2 linked regions of the Lonchura striata genome follow. The protein of the gene in region 2 interacts with the protein of the main gene of each other region in a pairwise test. Links are inferred from orthologs where the notes say so. Each region holds a gene or a part of one and is shown on either strand. Other genes may lie near its edges.

Region 1 (7,127 bases), on a different chromosome or scaffold from region 2:
AAGAAGAGTCTGGAAGGAGTTTGTGATGGTCTGTTATTTCACTATTAGCTAGGAGATGTGAAATTTCCTTTTCCAGATGAGCACATTTCGTGTTTTGCATAAGAGAGCAATTGCTTCTTGTAAGACTTAGCATTTCTGCTAATTTAATGAGCTATCCATACAAATGGACTGCATTAGTCATTGGACAGACCTTTTTCAAGTTCCACAAGCATGTTTTAGACCTCTTGATAAAGCCAGTAGCATGCTGGACTTCCACAAGCAGAAAGACCTCCCAAAGTATGCAAGTTATTCCTGGCATGTTGTATTCTCAACTTGTCAAGGAAACATGGATTATTTTTTACACAAACAGGCAAATCAAAATGGTTCCTTAGCAAGCTCCCATAAACATTCTTGGACCCTGAGAAGGAAAAGAATAAAGAAAAGTAAGGAAAAGAATTGCTTCTGAATTAGGTTTCTTAGATGGACGTGTTGTCACACATTCAGAAGTCCATTTGCACCAATTTGGACCTATGATGAATGGTGGAGGGAGTGAAGGATAAAATAGAAAGAACAAACAAGGGCATTAATTAATCTGGATATTCTATACTTGAGTGGATTATTTTTTCTTTTTTGCCCATACTGTGAATTTATCTTCAAATGTAGACTGAGATGAACCGCAAACACTTTTGGAAGTTCTTTTAATAGCTGTTGATTGAAAGGTGATGTGAAGGTGCTGAGAGGGAAAGGATCTCTGGAGCTGAGTGGGCCAGTGTGGAAAGGACAGGCCAACATCTTGCTGGAAACCACAAAGCAGCACAGCAGCAAAACCCCTGGAGTGCCCTCAGCTCCCCTGACACTTTAGCACACAAATTTGGCCTTAGATCTCACAAACACTGGAGCTTTTTTGAAACTGCTTGTGAAGGATTACAAATGCTGAGTGCAGTTTCTAGACAAAGACAGTAAGATATCACAGCTCTGGCCCTAGCTCGGTGTTTTATGTCTGAGCTTGTGTTACCGTGTAGGGTCCCTATGCATTAAAATGCCTCAGCCAAAACCCAGTTCTGACACTCACCAAATAATCCTGTGATTTACCACAATCCTGTGATTATGGTAAGACAATAAAAAGTACTGCCTGGCCTCAGCATTTTTCCCATTTCAGTGTAAAGAACTGTTTTTCCACACAGTGAAGGGATTTTTAACAGAAAAGAGGTGTAAAGCATGCATAAACAGTGACACTTAATGTGCATCCTCATCCATAGCTCCTTCTGTGGGTCGTGTGGTTCCATGCCATCCTGGTTCCATGCTCATGCTCAAATTCAGGAACAGCTCCTGCTGCTTGGGCTTGGTGCAGACTCAGCCAGCAGCCTTGAGCTTCATTTTGGCCCAGCCACTGCCATTAATGCAATGGTACCAATAACTATCAATAATGATACCTTCACTCGGTGGGAGGGTGCTTTTATTACAAGTACTTCATCCCAGGAGAAACAGAAAAGGGGAAGAGGGGACTTTTGTGCAGCCAAAACCTGCAGCAAGTGGGTGCTGCTGGGTTTGGTGCTGCAGGGCTGGGGCCTGGCTATGAGCATCCCTGGGGTCCCTTCCAGCCCAGCTCATCCTGGGAGCTGGACATGAGCATCCCTGGGGTCCCTTCCAGCCCAGCTCATCCTGGGAGCTGTCAGTGGCTCCTCACCACAGGGACACAGCTGCTGTGTGAGGTGCATTGTGGCTGCAGGAAATCAAAGTTCACACTGCCTCCTTCTCTGTTTTCCTTCTATTTTTCTAACCTTACACCTCAAATTTGCCCTCTCTCCTCTGACAGGCCTCAACAAGAAGCTTTGAATGTGGTGACAGCAGTGAGAGAAAATAAGACAAGTACCTCCAAGATGTAAAAAATACTACTGTTACTTCCTATTGTTCATCTGAATCTCCACTCCTGAGAACGTGAGTTAAATCCTAAATTTTCCTTTCTTTTTAGGCAGAATATCCAGCAAGTTATAAAAACAGCATCACAAGGAGGTCCTAAGATGGGGCTTGCTCCAGTTTTCCTGCTGAGCATGTGTTTAGGAATTGCTGCTAAAAAAAAGTCAGAGAGGATGGTAGTTCTGTGCTGTCACATGGCCTGATACAGCACAGAATCTGCTTAGCATTCCTGAAGGGAAATTACCCAGTGCTGCAACTCACAATTTATAATTGGTTGCATATTAATAGCTAAAAAAGGCAATAAAATCCGCTGTGCGTTTAAAAAAAAAAAAATTGTAAGCAGGAGTATTACAAGCTGAGCAGTGAAAATCTGGAAGACTTCTTGGCTGGAGCAGGGCTGTGTGCAGCGTTGTTTCTCCTGTATTAATTACAAGCAATTTTAAATCATCTCCTTCCTTCAAGGAAGGATTTTGTTAATTTTAATCTTGCTGGCGTGATACTCTCTTGCAACCTCTCCCTTGTGTCATAATAGTGAGACATGCTGCCTCTTTTGTCCCTGCCCTTTGGGAAACACAGTTACTGCTGCTCATTGCCTAACCCTGCTGTTGTGACCATCAGTACACCTCCCTTGAAAGGAAAAGAAACTAAAACTCAGCAGCAGGATTGTTCTTCCCTGCTCCGAGTTCACTTTTATTTGTTGTATTTAAGATAGATTGTGTGAGTGCCTCAAGAAAATTGGGGGTTTAAAATGTATGGTGCTGTATTAGAGTAGAAAGCTTGTTATTCAGCACACTACTTATTTCTGAGTCACTGTATTTATAAAATGTCATGTAATAACTACTTCACCACCATGAAAAATAAATAGTGCAAAAGCAGGCACTTTATGATTTTGACATTTTGGTGTATAAACATATTCCCGAGTCTCTCTGGGGGCTACTGGGAATCTGATCATGTTTTTATGACATCTAAAAAAAATGACATTGCATTTCCTAATCTGTAACACTCCATATGCATCGTTAGTGCTGAGCATTTTATTACAGCCTCAGTGGCTTATACTGCAAGTGTCAGCTGCAAAGAGAAAACCCACAAAGCTGGGGCTGTGGAACTGGGGGGGCACGAGAGGGTAAAGCCTTGCAGTGCACACCTCAAAGCCTGTGGGCCACCTGCAATGGCAGATCCCAGGCAGATCTGCTGGGACACCAGAATTCCCCTGCAGCTTTTCTCATTTCAGGATGGATTGCAAAGCCCTTGCTGAAGGAGGGCCTCCTGCTCAGACTTATCTCTAGAGGGTAAGTGAGGCTGGGGTTCTGTGTGAATGACCTGTTAACTCCAGAGTAACTGGGACACCTCGAGTGACACTCTGGGAGGGAGTGCAGAGGGGAAGGAGGATGGGCTGCTGCCCCAGGTTCTGAGTGGTCCTGCATGGTCCCTGAGAGCAATGGTGGATGCTTAGCAGAATGTGCGACTTCAGAAAATGCTGTGCCTGAACCCAGGCCTTCTGTGCTCCTCTGCAAAGCCTGCTTGGTGTTACTTAAGTTGTGAGTCATTTACTCAAATGCTGGGAGAAGTGTCTTTTGAAATAAGTTATCCAGCACTTTTTGGGAAAGGAGCAAGGGGTGAGGAAGCAGTCACAGCTTCAGAAAAACTCAAATTTGTCACGAAAATGACAGTGAGAAATGAAAATGGGAGGAAGCCATTGCTGCTGGTGGGTGATGGTGTCAGTCCTCCCCTTTCTGACACAGTGCAGGACAGCAGCCTCTTGCCAGAGCTGCTCCACGTGTACGTGAGTACAGAACTGGCCCCTGACCTGTGGGGATTCCTCTGGAATCCTCTGATTCCTTCCCCCTCAGGGAAATCCCAGGGCCCTCCCTTGGACACTTAACCACAGAGTTCTGCCCACCTGGGCTGATAGAAAGCTCTTCCTCATGGGCTTTTGCTTAACACTGATCATCCCAGTTCCTTTCCCCATATGTCCCACCTACCCTGGTTTCCCTTTCCCTGTTTCCTCCTGGCTTGTGGTACCCCTTCCTCCCTGAAAGCCGACACCCTCTGCCCTGCCCTTGGTACCGCCCCCATCTCTTCCCCTACTTAAACCTCGTGCGGAGCACCTGATTTCTCTTTTGTCTCTGGTTCCCTTTTGGGGTGCTGAAGTAAACCTCGCTGAACTGGCCATACAAGAGGCCCATCTGCCTCTCTTCGCTGAGCTAGCCAGGGTAAGTGTGCTGTGTGTGGACTTGACTGCCTTCCTGGGTGCTTCCCCGAGTGGCTTTTCCTCAGGAGATGCTCATTGGGAAATGGGTAGCAGCAGCCACCACCTAAACCCCCATGCTGCTGTGGCTTCCTCTGAATTTACAGCAGCTGGCAGGCTGAGGTGACACATCCTCTCCTCAGTGCTTTCTTCACCTGTTGGCATTAAAAAATTACAAGGAGCGTGGAGTGTGATCTACCATACATTTTGCTGGAAGTGGTGAAATTATTTATCCTTTTCACATTGGGATAGACTGGTTATCCTTAGAACAATCAGCCCCCTGAGCTGGTAGGCAGGGAGCAGAAAAGACCCCCTGTGATGTAGCAGAAGGTAGGTGGTGACCTGCTGTGCCACTTAGATGCTCACAAGTGTGTTGGGCAGAATGGGATTTCCCTGAAGCACCGAGGGAGCTGCTGGGAGGGCTCACCAAGGCACTCCCCATCCATCATTCCCCACCAGCCCTGGCTGTCCCTGAGGTCCCGGGTGACTGGAGGTTGCTCAGATCTTGGGTGTGAGCACAGGGCACTCACAGCACAGGCAGGGCATCAAGGACAGCCAGGATGGGCTTAGGAAAGGCAGCTCCTGTCTGACCAGCCTGATCTCCTTTCATGACCAGCAGTAAGTGCCTTGTTGAACACGGTAACCAATGAGTGGACATGGCACTCAGTGCTGTGGTCTGGTTGACAAAGGTTGAACTTGATGATCTTGGAGGTCTTTTCCAACCTCAATGATTCTACGAGGCTATGATGTTATGTTGTATTTATTTTCTGACTTTTCTATAAATACAAGTAGCTATTAAGAATGTCTCTGACTATTATATCCAAGGATAAGTGTTTGAGATACATGAGAGATACTCAGGGAATTGGTAAATCCTCAGTAAAAAAAAATGTCCTGAGATCAATTTCCTGATTCAGGAGTGAAGTCGTCATAGCATATAAAATGTAATGTGATTGTCCATAGCCCTAATAAAATCTTGAATTTTCCACCAAGCCTTTCATCTATAAAAATCAAATTTATCTGGCATTTGTCTGCATTTTGAAAGGGATAGGGATTTTTTGAAATGGATATGATAGTAATCCTTTATGGTACGTTAATATAGCAGAACAATAATTTGTTGCGTTTTCTTCACACAGAAACAATCAGCTTGGAAATGTGCATAATAATTGTCTTTGTCCTTCATTGTCACAGGCTATTAGCTAATGAATTTAAGCTGTACTTGGCTCTTGCTCCAATAAGAAAACTACATTAGAGATCTTGTAGCCTTGGTATTATATAAAACCTTTCAGTGGGTTTTATTTTAGTCTCGCTGAGGTGATGTTGCCGTGGGCTGAGGAATGCATCTCAATTTTGTGGTGAGCAGTGAGGTCAGCATGGATTGATGTAGTGGGTCAAGCAAGCTGAAGGACATCTATAGCTACTGAAGCTGCCAGGTGCCAGACCCTCTTTTTTTGGTTCCTTATACTTTAGCCAAACTTTTCATGCCTGCTTCTGTGACAGTTTCTGGTTCATCTTTTGGCTGGGAGGATTTGCTCAACTCATTCCAGTATTACCAAGATTCATAATAGGAAAAATAAGTAGTTTGGGCAATGCTTTAAATAAACAACAGGCTCACGTTGAGTTGCTCAGTTTTACTGCCTATACAGTTTGCCCACTCAACAAAGAGGCTGGCAAAAGAAAATCCTGTGATGGAAGAAGTGCCTGAGCAAACAGGAGCTGTTGCTGCTGCCCTGGACACAGGGACCTGTGTGGGCATTGCTCTTTGGGATGCCAGCTGCTGCAGCCTCCAAGAGGCACTCCCTGTGCCCAGCCACGCTGGGACACACCAGGCCCCCCGTGACTCTGCCCTTGTCCCCAGCTGTGTCACACTGGGGAGTGACACCCCATTCCTGCTGCTTGCAGGAAAGAAACAACCCATGAGTTCAGTTGGGTTGCTGCCACCTTTGGGCTGCCAGAATGGTGTGCAGAACAGCAGGAGCATAAGGCAAAATCCATACCACTGTCATTTGTGTTTGGCATCTTATGAGAAAAAAGGACCTGAAACTTCTGGGCATTACTTTGTATCTGAGCTTTTAGCTCATGGATGTCTTGGAAGGACAATGGATGGTCAGTGTGGGATAAATGTCTGCTGCAGGCAATCTCAGTAGAACATTGTTCCTCAACATCATTCTGTGCCTGTTCAGGGATTATTGCTTCTGCACAAGCCGTGACCCACAGCAGTCAAGAGCTGGCTGCGGAAAACATGGTCAAGTTTTGCTGTGTCCTGCAGACAGAGATGACCCCAGGCAGCTGGCAGTGCAGGGTGCAGCACCTGCAAAGTCCTGTGAGAAATGGGTTGGGATTGCCACTCCTGTTAACAGGCACCATTTGCTTCCTTCCCTCTTTTCATCTCCAAACCCGGACTCTGAGCTTTCCATGGCCTGCAGCCCCACATTTGGCTGTCCCATGTGCCTCCTCATGTTTTGATGGATAGTGCAGGAGATGTTCTGAGTGCTATGCCCCAAGGCAGGGTGCACAATGAGCATTGCTGGTGGCAGAAGCAGTGGCTGGAAAGCTTTGATGCTCCGAGGTGTGCAGGGGGCAGGTGCCAGGTAGCAGCAATCACCCGTTTTCCTAAACCAGCAGCACTTAGAGCCCTTCTGACAGAGGTTGACTCACCAGAAGTAAATTCAATATGCATGAAAGGACTCTTGTTCTTCCTCAGTGGAGAGCATAAAGACATACTGTCAGACAAATTAATCTCTCTCTGATAATTTTCTTTTCAACATCATTGAACTGTCATTTCTCCTGGGCTTTGCCAGAATGTTTGATATATCCGTTGTTTTCCAAAAACAGACAGATTCTGCTAGCTTGGCTGATACAGGAATTCCTGCCAGGAAAAGAGATGCTGAGATGCCTCTACCAGCCTTGTGCTGTTGTTGTGCAGGTCCTTTGCTGAGCTCTGGAGCTCTGGTTAGGGGGATGGAAGGAAGGTGTCTTGGTGATT
Region 2 (7,854 bases):
AACACCCAGTTGTGGTGGGACCACCACCTCTCAGGGACTGGGCTGTGTGCCTGGAGCCCAGGCTGGGCAGAGCCCACCCAGGCAGGACCAAGGATGCACCCCAGCATCCTCCTGAACATCCACATGCATTGGTATGGCCATAAAAATCCCAGTTCTTGCAATAATTATTTTACTACACCACCTCTGTGGCTCTCAGACTGCTGCTGCCTCATCCACAGTAAAAAAAGAGCACCAAGTGCAGCCCTTCCAAATATCCCTGCCCAGAGGGGGCTGAGGAGGGTTCCAGCACCAGGACAATCCTGTGACACCACACACAGCTCCTCCTGCACAAACCCCAGCCAGAAGCTGCCAGTCCTCCCTCCCTCCCAGCAGGGATGCAGCTCCTTTAAGCTCACTGGATAAACGCAGCATCTAAAGAACAAATCTTGGAACACCCAAGCAACTCAGAGATCAAAGAAAGCATCGTATTCCCAGTTTCTCTGCAATTCCTTCCTTTGAAGCAGGTGATGCTCCCATTTTGTTTGGCTCAGACACAAACTGCAGCAGCTGGGGGTGAACTCCCAGCGCTCCTTGGCCCCCAAAGTGGCTCAGAAGCAAAAAAGCACAACCCATGTGATCCCCCAGAGCAGAGTCTGCTGCACCCCCTGCACTTGGGGTGTGAAAAGCCACCAAGGGAAAATCAGAGCTGCAAGCCCCACACACAGAATCACAGAGCAGCTGGGGCTGATCTGGAGCTCACCCTCTTCAAGCCCTCTCAAGGCAGGGTCACTCAGAGCAGTGGCACAAGAACGTGTCCAGGTGGGTCTGGAATGTGCCCAGAGAGGGAGACCACCACACCCCCAGCTGCTCCAGTGGGAAGCTCTTCCTCATGCTGAGGTGGAACTTGCTGTATTTTAGTTTCTGGTCACTGCTCCTTGTCCTGCCACTGGGCAGCGCTGAAGGGAGTCTGGCAGCATCCTCTGGTACATGCCCTGGGCAAATCTGTGGGGATTTGTCTCCTCTCCTCCAGACTAACAAGGCCCAGCTCCCTCTGTCTCTCCTCACAGAGGTGCTCCAAACCCCTCAGCATTTTTGTGAGCTCTGCTGCTCCTCCACCACGAGTTTGCTGTTCACCTTAAACAAGGACCTGGTTGTATTCCTGTGGGAAATGGCTTTTTCCCCACCAGAGACCCCTGTAGCTGTAACCATGTTAGTTTAACCTTTCCTTCCTTTCTTGACCTAATTGGCTGAGAGCCAATTATATTTTCATGAGCAGGAGTCTAGACAAGGCTCTGTTCTCCCTTGTTCTCCCTTTTTCTCCCCTGGAAACTTTTGAGAATAAAAGTCTAGGACTACATTGGGGGTTAGAGCTTCTTTTGGAATCTTTTACCTTGCCCCTGAAATATTCCCCCAAAGCCTTCTCAGATCTGGGCTGTCTAGCAACTCCAGGGTGCTGTGGGGGTAAATATTTCAGGAGCCCTGTCCCAGGAGCACCTTCAGTGTCCCTGGGGAAGGCAGAGTGGGACACCCACCACTGGCCACAGGTGATGCCCAGGTGGGGCTCCAACATCTCCTCCACATCCCCATCCCATTCCTTGGGGAAGGCCAATCCCTGGGGTGGGACACAAACCCCGACCACATTTCCTTGCTCTGCTCACGATTTTACACCCAATCCCCACAGGTCTGGCACTGTCCTGGCTGCCCAGCCCCCTGTGCCCACCCCTGGCTGCCCAGCTGAAAGAGAGGAAAAATGTAACAGAGTAGAAATTAGAAATCCATTTAGATTTAAGTGAAATGTACCGCTTTGAGCTTGGTACTGAGTTGAGATGGTTTGAGTAAAATATGCTGTTTAGTCTAGTAACTGCAACACTAATAAAACTACCCCAGCTAAAGAAAAAAAAAAAGACAAATTTCCACACTAAAAAGATAAAAAATAAGAAAGACTCCTCAGACCTTTAAACAAGCAAAGTGACCCAAGAGTTCTTTCTATACTTTCTAACAAAAACTAAATACGAGTGTAACTAACTAGAAATGTAACACGAAATCAACAAAATGAATATGCATAAACCTATTTTTATATAAAATTCTATTACTATGCACAAACCTATTGTAAAATTCTATGAGTATAGAAATTAATAAGAGCAATAAAAATCAATGAAGTTATCAAAAGCGAGCCATTAAAGAACAACAAGTCCCCACGTGCGTCCAGCACTATAAATAAATATTGAAATGATGGAGTTTGAATTTTCCCCCACGTTTCCCAGCCCCAGCTGACCTTTGGGCCGGGGTCTGCCGGTCTCGGGGCGGCTGCGGCGCAGCGTGGCCGGGACGATTTCGGGGGGCAGGTGGAGGTAATCCCGCAGGTACTGGATGCCCTCGTTGGTCAGGTACCAGTAGAAGTGTCTCCAAGCAAACTGCTCCTTCACGTAGCCTCGGGACTTGAGGGACTGCGGGGAGAGCTCCCAGTTACTCCCAGTTCCTCCCAGTTCCAGCCTCTCCCAGCTCCTCAGCAGGGAAGGGGGACAGAAGGCAGTGAGACAGAGTGAAAATTGAATAAGGTAAAAATCTATTCAGATTTCAAGAAAATGTGCCACTTTGAGCTTGCTAAATATGCTAAATAAATTTAGTCTAGTAACTGCAGCCTAGCAAAACTACTAACACACTTTTGCACACTAAAAGATAAAAAAGACTCTTAAGATCTTAAAACAGACACGGCAGAGTGACCCAAAAGTTTTTGTTAGAAAGTATAGAAAAAACTAAGTACAAGTGTAACTAACTGTAAGTATAACGTGAAATCAGCAGAATGAATATGCATTAAGCTATTGTAAAATTCTATGCATAGAGAAATTAGTAAAGGAAATAAAAAAAGATCAACAAGAGTTGTCAGAGGTATGCATTATGTCCATTAAAGGGCAATGAGTCCCAACATGCTAAACATACCCATTCCCTACAAATCTTTATTAGAATGATGAAGTTTAATTTTTCATTCACATTACAATGGTGAAGTTTAATTTTGCAGCAGCAGCAGCAGAGCCCCCCACCTGCATGGCTTTCATCACGTGCAGGTTGGGCACGTTCTTGTCCACCAGCTCGGGGTGCTTGGCCATGTGCACATCCTTCTTGGCCACCATCACGCCCTCCTTGAACAGCAGCTCGTAGATGGCGATCCGGTTCTTCTTGGGCATCAACATCTGCAGGGGGCACAGCAAAACGGGCTCGGGGACCGGGAACCGTGCTGGGCCACCCCGGGACGCGCTTCCCGGGAGGGAAACCGGGAAATCCCAGCGTTTCCTCCGTAAATCATCCCGCGCACCCCCGCCCGCTGTCGGGCACACCGGGCAAGGTGGGGCAGGCTCGGGGAGAGCCCGGCTTGGCCCCGCCGTTAAGTGCAACTGAACCAGGGAACCGGGAGCCGGAACCGACACCGGCAGCGCCCCCAGCACGGGAAATCAGCTACGGGCGGTGCTCCCGGACCCACCGGGCCGGGGCTGTCCGTGCTCGGGCACGACCGAACCCCCGCGGCAGCGGCCGGGGTGGGACGCCCCGGTGCCAGCGCCGGACACCCAACCCCACCCCGCGGCCCGGCGCCGCCGGTCCCTTTCTCCCCGCACAGCCGGGGCGTGGAGCCCCGATGGGGGAAGTGCGGCGGGGGGCCCCCAGACCCCGGGATGGCGGCGATGCGCGGCCGATGGCCCGAGCGCGGCCTCACCGTGGCGGCGGCGGCGGCGGGGCCCGGCCGGAAAGGACTGCGCGTGCGCCGGCCCGCCGCTTCCGCCGCGCCAAGGACCCCCTCGGCGGCGGGAGGGGGCGCCCGCCGTGCTGCCTGCGCGGAGAGCAGGCCCCCTCCTGCCCGGGGAACGGGCTGCCCGCCGCGGTGCCTGAGGGGCACGGCGGGTGACCTCCGCCCCCGCGTCCCCACTCGTGTCACGCCTCCCACACGTCCCCACCCGTGCCATCCCCAGCCGTGTCACCCCCCACGTTCCGGCTGTGTCACTCGGGGCTGTGTCATCCCCCACGTCCCCATCCGTGCCATCCCCGGCCGTGCCACCCAAAGCTGTATCACCCCTGGCCGTGCCACCCCAGGCCGTGCCATCCCCCACGTCCCCGGCTGTGTCACCCCCGGCTGTGTCACCCCCCCACCCCCGTCCCCAGCCGTGTCACCCCCACCCGTGCCATCCCCACCCGTGTCACCCCCGACAATGTCACCCCCACCCGTGGCATCCCCACCCGTGTCACCTCCGGCCGTGCCATCCCCAGCCATGCCACCCAAAGCTGTGCCACCCCTGGCCGTGTCACCTCCGGCCGTGCCATCCCCAGCCATGCCACCCAAAGCTGTGTCACCCCTGGCCGTGTCACCTCCGGCCGTGCCATCCCCACCCGTGGCATCCCCACCCGTGCCACCACCACCCGTGTCGGCCCCGGCCGTGCCACCCGCAGTCCCCGCGGTGCCCGCTGTCCCCCGCCGTGAAGCGCTGCCCGGGACCCCGGAGAGCCGCGGGTCGCAGCCCGGCCCGAGGGCTCGGGGCTCCCGCAGGCACCGGGGCGCTCTGCTCCGCACACACCGGCCCGGGAGCCGCGATTCCCCCGACCCCGTCCGGGGCTGTGACCGGAGCCGTGTCCCCTGGGGCGCACCCCGTGTCCCCCCGGTGTCCCTCCCGTGTCCCGCTCCGTGTGGGGTCCGGGGGGAGCGGACACCTGAACACCGCGGGCACTCGGAGCACCGGAGCGGAGCCCGGGGACCGCGGGAGGGACCGCGGCGCCCCGGGGTTTATCGCCATCCCCTCGGCGGGCGCGTTGTCACCTTGCGCGGCCGAGGAGCCGCCGCGCCGGGGATTGGTCGGCTAAAAATGCCGCCCTAATCTCCGAGCTGATCTTTACCCCCTCCCTCCGCCCCATCTGCCGCGACCTGCCCGCGATGCGCAGCGCCGGCCCCGGGAGAGGCTCCGCCGCTGTCCCCGCGGCCCCGAGGTACGGCCGGCGGGGCGGGCGGGGGGCGCACGGCTGGCCCGGGGGGCACAGGGGGATGCCGGGGACCGGGGCGCTGTGACAGCGCTGTCCCCGCCGGTGTTTGAACCGGCTCCGCGCCCTGCTTTGGGAAACCAACCCGCGCCCGACCCGTTCTAAGTGATTCCCGACCCGTGCCGGACCGTGCCGGGCGGGGAACGGGAGGGATCGAGGGATGCGCCGCGCTCCTGGAGGTGCCCGGTGCCGTCCTGGGGCTTTGCTGGGTGTCACCCCCTCGTTTCTTCCTTTGGGACGGAGGTGTCCCACAGGGTGACCCGCAGGATGCTGCGACAATCGCGGCATCAGCCGGCCCGGCCCGCGGAGCAGGAGCTGTCCCCGCCGGCCGGACACGCTGTCGCTGTCGCTGCTGCAGCAGATCACAGCTCCTGCACCTCCTGCCTTGGAAATGGCAAAGCAAGTGCTTCGCTAAACGGATTAGAGCTCTCCCGGCAGCCTCCCCGGCTGCTCCCGCATCCCTCGGCCCCCGCGTCGCCTTCCCCGGGCAAACCCCAGCCCTAATAAGCCAAAAGGCCGCGGCCGCAGCACGGCAGAGATCAGCCGCTGCGGCTGCCAGCGCGCCTGACCCCGAAAATGAAGCCCTGAGAGTCCTGCCACCTCCTGGGGTTTTGTGTTCCCTTTGCAGGAGCACAGAGAAAATCGGGGAATTCAGCAGGCAGCGGCTCGGCCGGTGCTGGAGGTGCTGCCTGCCCCGGGGTCGCCCCTGGCCGCTTCCTCTCCCTCCTCTCCCGGGGTGTGCGGCCGCCGGAGGGGCTGCGGCAGGACGGGAGCGGGATTGAACCGAGAAAGGATTGAGGGAAGAGAGCCCAGGCACAGGCAGGGACCGACAGTGACGCGCACAGGGCAGGGCCACGAGGGAAGGGACATCAGCACAGCGTGGCAGCACCGAGCGGGGCTGTCCCGAGCCCAGAGCCTGGGCTGGGCTCTGGGTGGGATGCCCCTCGCTGGGAATGGCCTGTCCCCAGCTCTGCCGGTCCCTGCCAGGGCACGGCGATGGCACAGGGATAGAGCCAGGCTGCACCAGCACAGCGCGTGGCACGGGGACAGACTTTGTCCCGGGGATGCCAGCCTGGCCGGCGTTTGTGCAACACCTTGAAGGCAAACTCCGGACCTGCTGAGCTCCTGCGGATGGTGCTGGAGGAGGAGAGGCCGCCTCCAAGCCGGCAGCTTGCAGGGGCTGTGTCCCGCACAGCCGGCGGGGCCGGAGGCAGCGAGCCCCAGCACGGCTGTGGCCGTGGGTGGAATGTGCGGGCTCCTCGGGCAGCTGCCCGCAGCCAGCCCCGAGCTGCTTCCCTGGGAAAAATGGAGCCTTTATGTCCCGGCCCCAGCCCCTTCCCCGGAAGGGCTCGGAGGATGCCCCGGCCGGTCACAGGCAGACAAGAAGGGAATTGTTTCGGTGGGATTTGGGTTTCTGGGAGCACCTGCCCCGCGCGGGGCCCTCCACAATGGCTGCCTGTCTGCCGCAGAGCCGCCAATTATCCTCCGCGGCTAATTAGAGATGCAAAGTAGCGCTTGTATTCTCCCAGCTCCCCGGAGGGCTCCTGGGACCGGCGGCACATCCGCAGCGGCGACGCAGCCCGGGCATGGGGCGAGCGTGGGGCGCTGGCCCCATCCGGCCCCCCGAGCCCCAGCTGCCCTGGGAGGAGGCAGCGGAGGACAGGAATGGGCTCGGGATCCTGGGATTCCCTCTGCCCCCATCCACACCAGTCTTCCCTGGACCGCCCATGGGCTCTCCCGTGTCTCCCAGAAGCAGCTGAGCCCCATAGCTCGGGGCTCTGCCGGGATTTAGGGAACACATTTCCCTTCCTTGCTGGGGAGCTGGCTGCGCTCAAACCCCCCCCGGTTCGTGCGAGGGCCGGCACTCCTGCCTGGCTGATGGGCAGGCGGCTGATTCCTGGTGGCATCTCCTCATTCCTGCCTGCTCTGGCTCCAGCAGCCGCCGGGATCACCGTGTGGGCTCCTGTGCTCCGTTTGTGCTCACGGAGCTGTAATTCCAGAGCGGCAAGTGGCCCCATAAATCAGGGCTTATTTCCTGCCAATACCGTCTGCTGCTTCCCACAAGGAAACTCATTTACAGGAGGAGAAGTGACTTACCACTGAAAACAGTAAACGGTGGGATGGTGAGAGCCGGGGAAAAGTTTGTCGTGACCGAGTTTTTGGTGAAGGAACTGAGGAGGCAGAGCTCCCACCTGCTCCCTGCATGGAGCAGCCCAAGCTGCAGGGAAGGAGACCTGAGCTGGTGCCACCTGCGCAGACCACAAAGCTGGTGGCGATGGCTCTTTGCACTGGGGAACCCCCCGAGTCATTGAGGTCCCCCCATCACCATCCTGGAGAGCGTTTGTCACCTGATGTTTAATGCCAAGGATCCCTCTGCAGCAGGGATGCTGATGGTGCCTGGGACATCCCAGTGCTGAGAACTGCCAACTCACTGCTTGGAAGGACCATGACCAGATATTCAGCACCCTCTGAAACGCCAACAGGCAAAGATCCCCCGCTCCTAAAGGAACCAGCGTCCATCCCACTCCTCTTTGGGACTGGGGACATTAAATCTCCGAGGTGTCACCCCAGCTGCAGCAGGGCGTGAAACCTTCCGGGGGCTGTTCTGGCTGGCCCTGATGGGGGCTGGCTCGGGTGGCACGGAGCTGCGAGGAGCCGGGAGGCAGGCGGGCTGCAGAGCCCCACCGAGCTTCATTAGGCAGTCGAAGGAGCTTGTTAGGGGAAAGCTGAGCCGGCGTCGGAGGCCGGCAGAGCCCCCCGGGACCGGGTCGCATTCTCTGGGCAACCCGATCCCGGCGGCAGCGGCCCCGGCAGCCTCATTACTGCGGCTTCTGCAGCGGCTTCGGTTACTCGCCT

What was found. The genes of interacting proteins can lie anywhere in the genome.
Region 1: the proteins of PACSIN1 (region 2) and EHBP1 interact in a two-hybrid assay, tested with the Homo sapiens proteins (2 studies listed by BioGRID and IntAct). The link is inferred for Lonchura striata from reciprocal best matches to the Homo sapiens genes PACSIN1 and EHBP1.

What each region holds. Positions count from the first base shown.
Region 1 is NC_134605.1:653,080-660,206, forward strand, and holds the start of EHBP1 (EH domain-binding protein 1), read left to right. Parts: upstream 1-4,030; 5' UTR 4,031-4,109; intron 4,110-7,127. UniProt on the Homo sapiens protein: May play a role in actin reorganization. Links clathrin-mediated endocytosis to the actin cytoskeleton. May act as Rab effector protein and play a role in vesicle trafficking.
Region 2 is NC_134632.1:4,264,170-4,272,023, forward strand, and holds the start of PACSIN1 (protein kinase C and casein kinase substrate in neurons protein 1), read left to right. Parts: upstream 1-4,795; 5' UTR 4,796-4,947; intron 4,948-7,854. Other genes in the region: RPS10 (small ribosomal subunit protein eS10), read right to left, coding at 2,255-2,426, 3,021-3,170. UniProt on the Homo sapiens protein: Plays a role in the reorganization of the microtubule cytoskeleton via its interaction with MAPT; this decreases microtubule stability and inhibits MAPT-induced microtubule polymerization.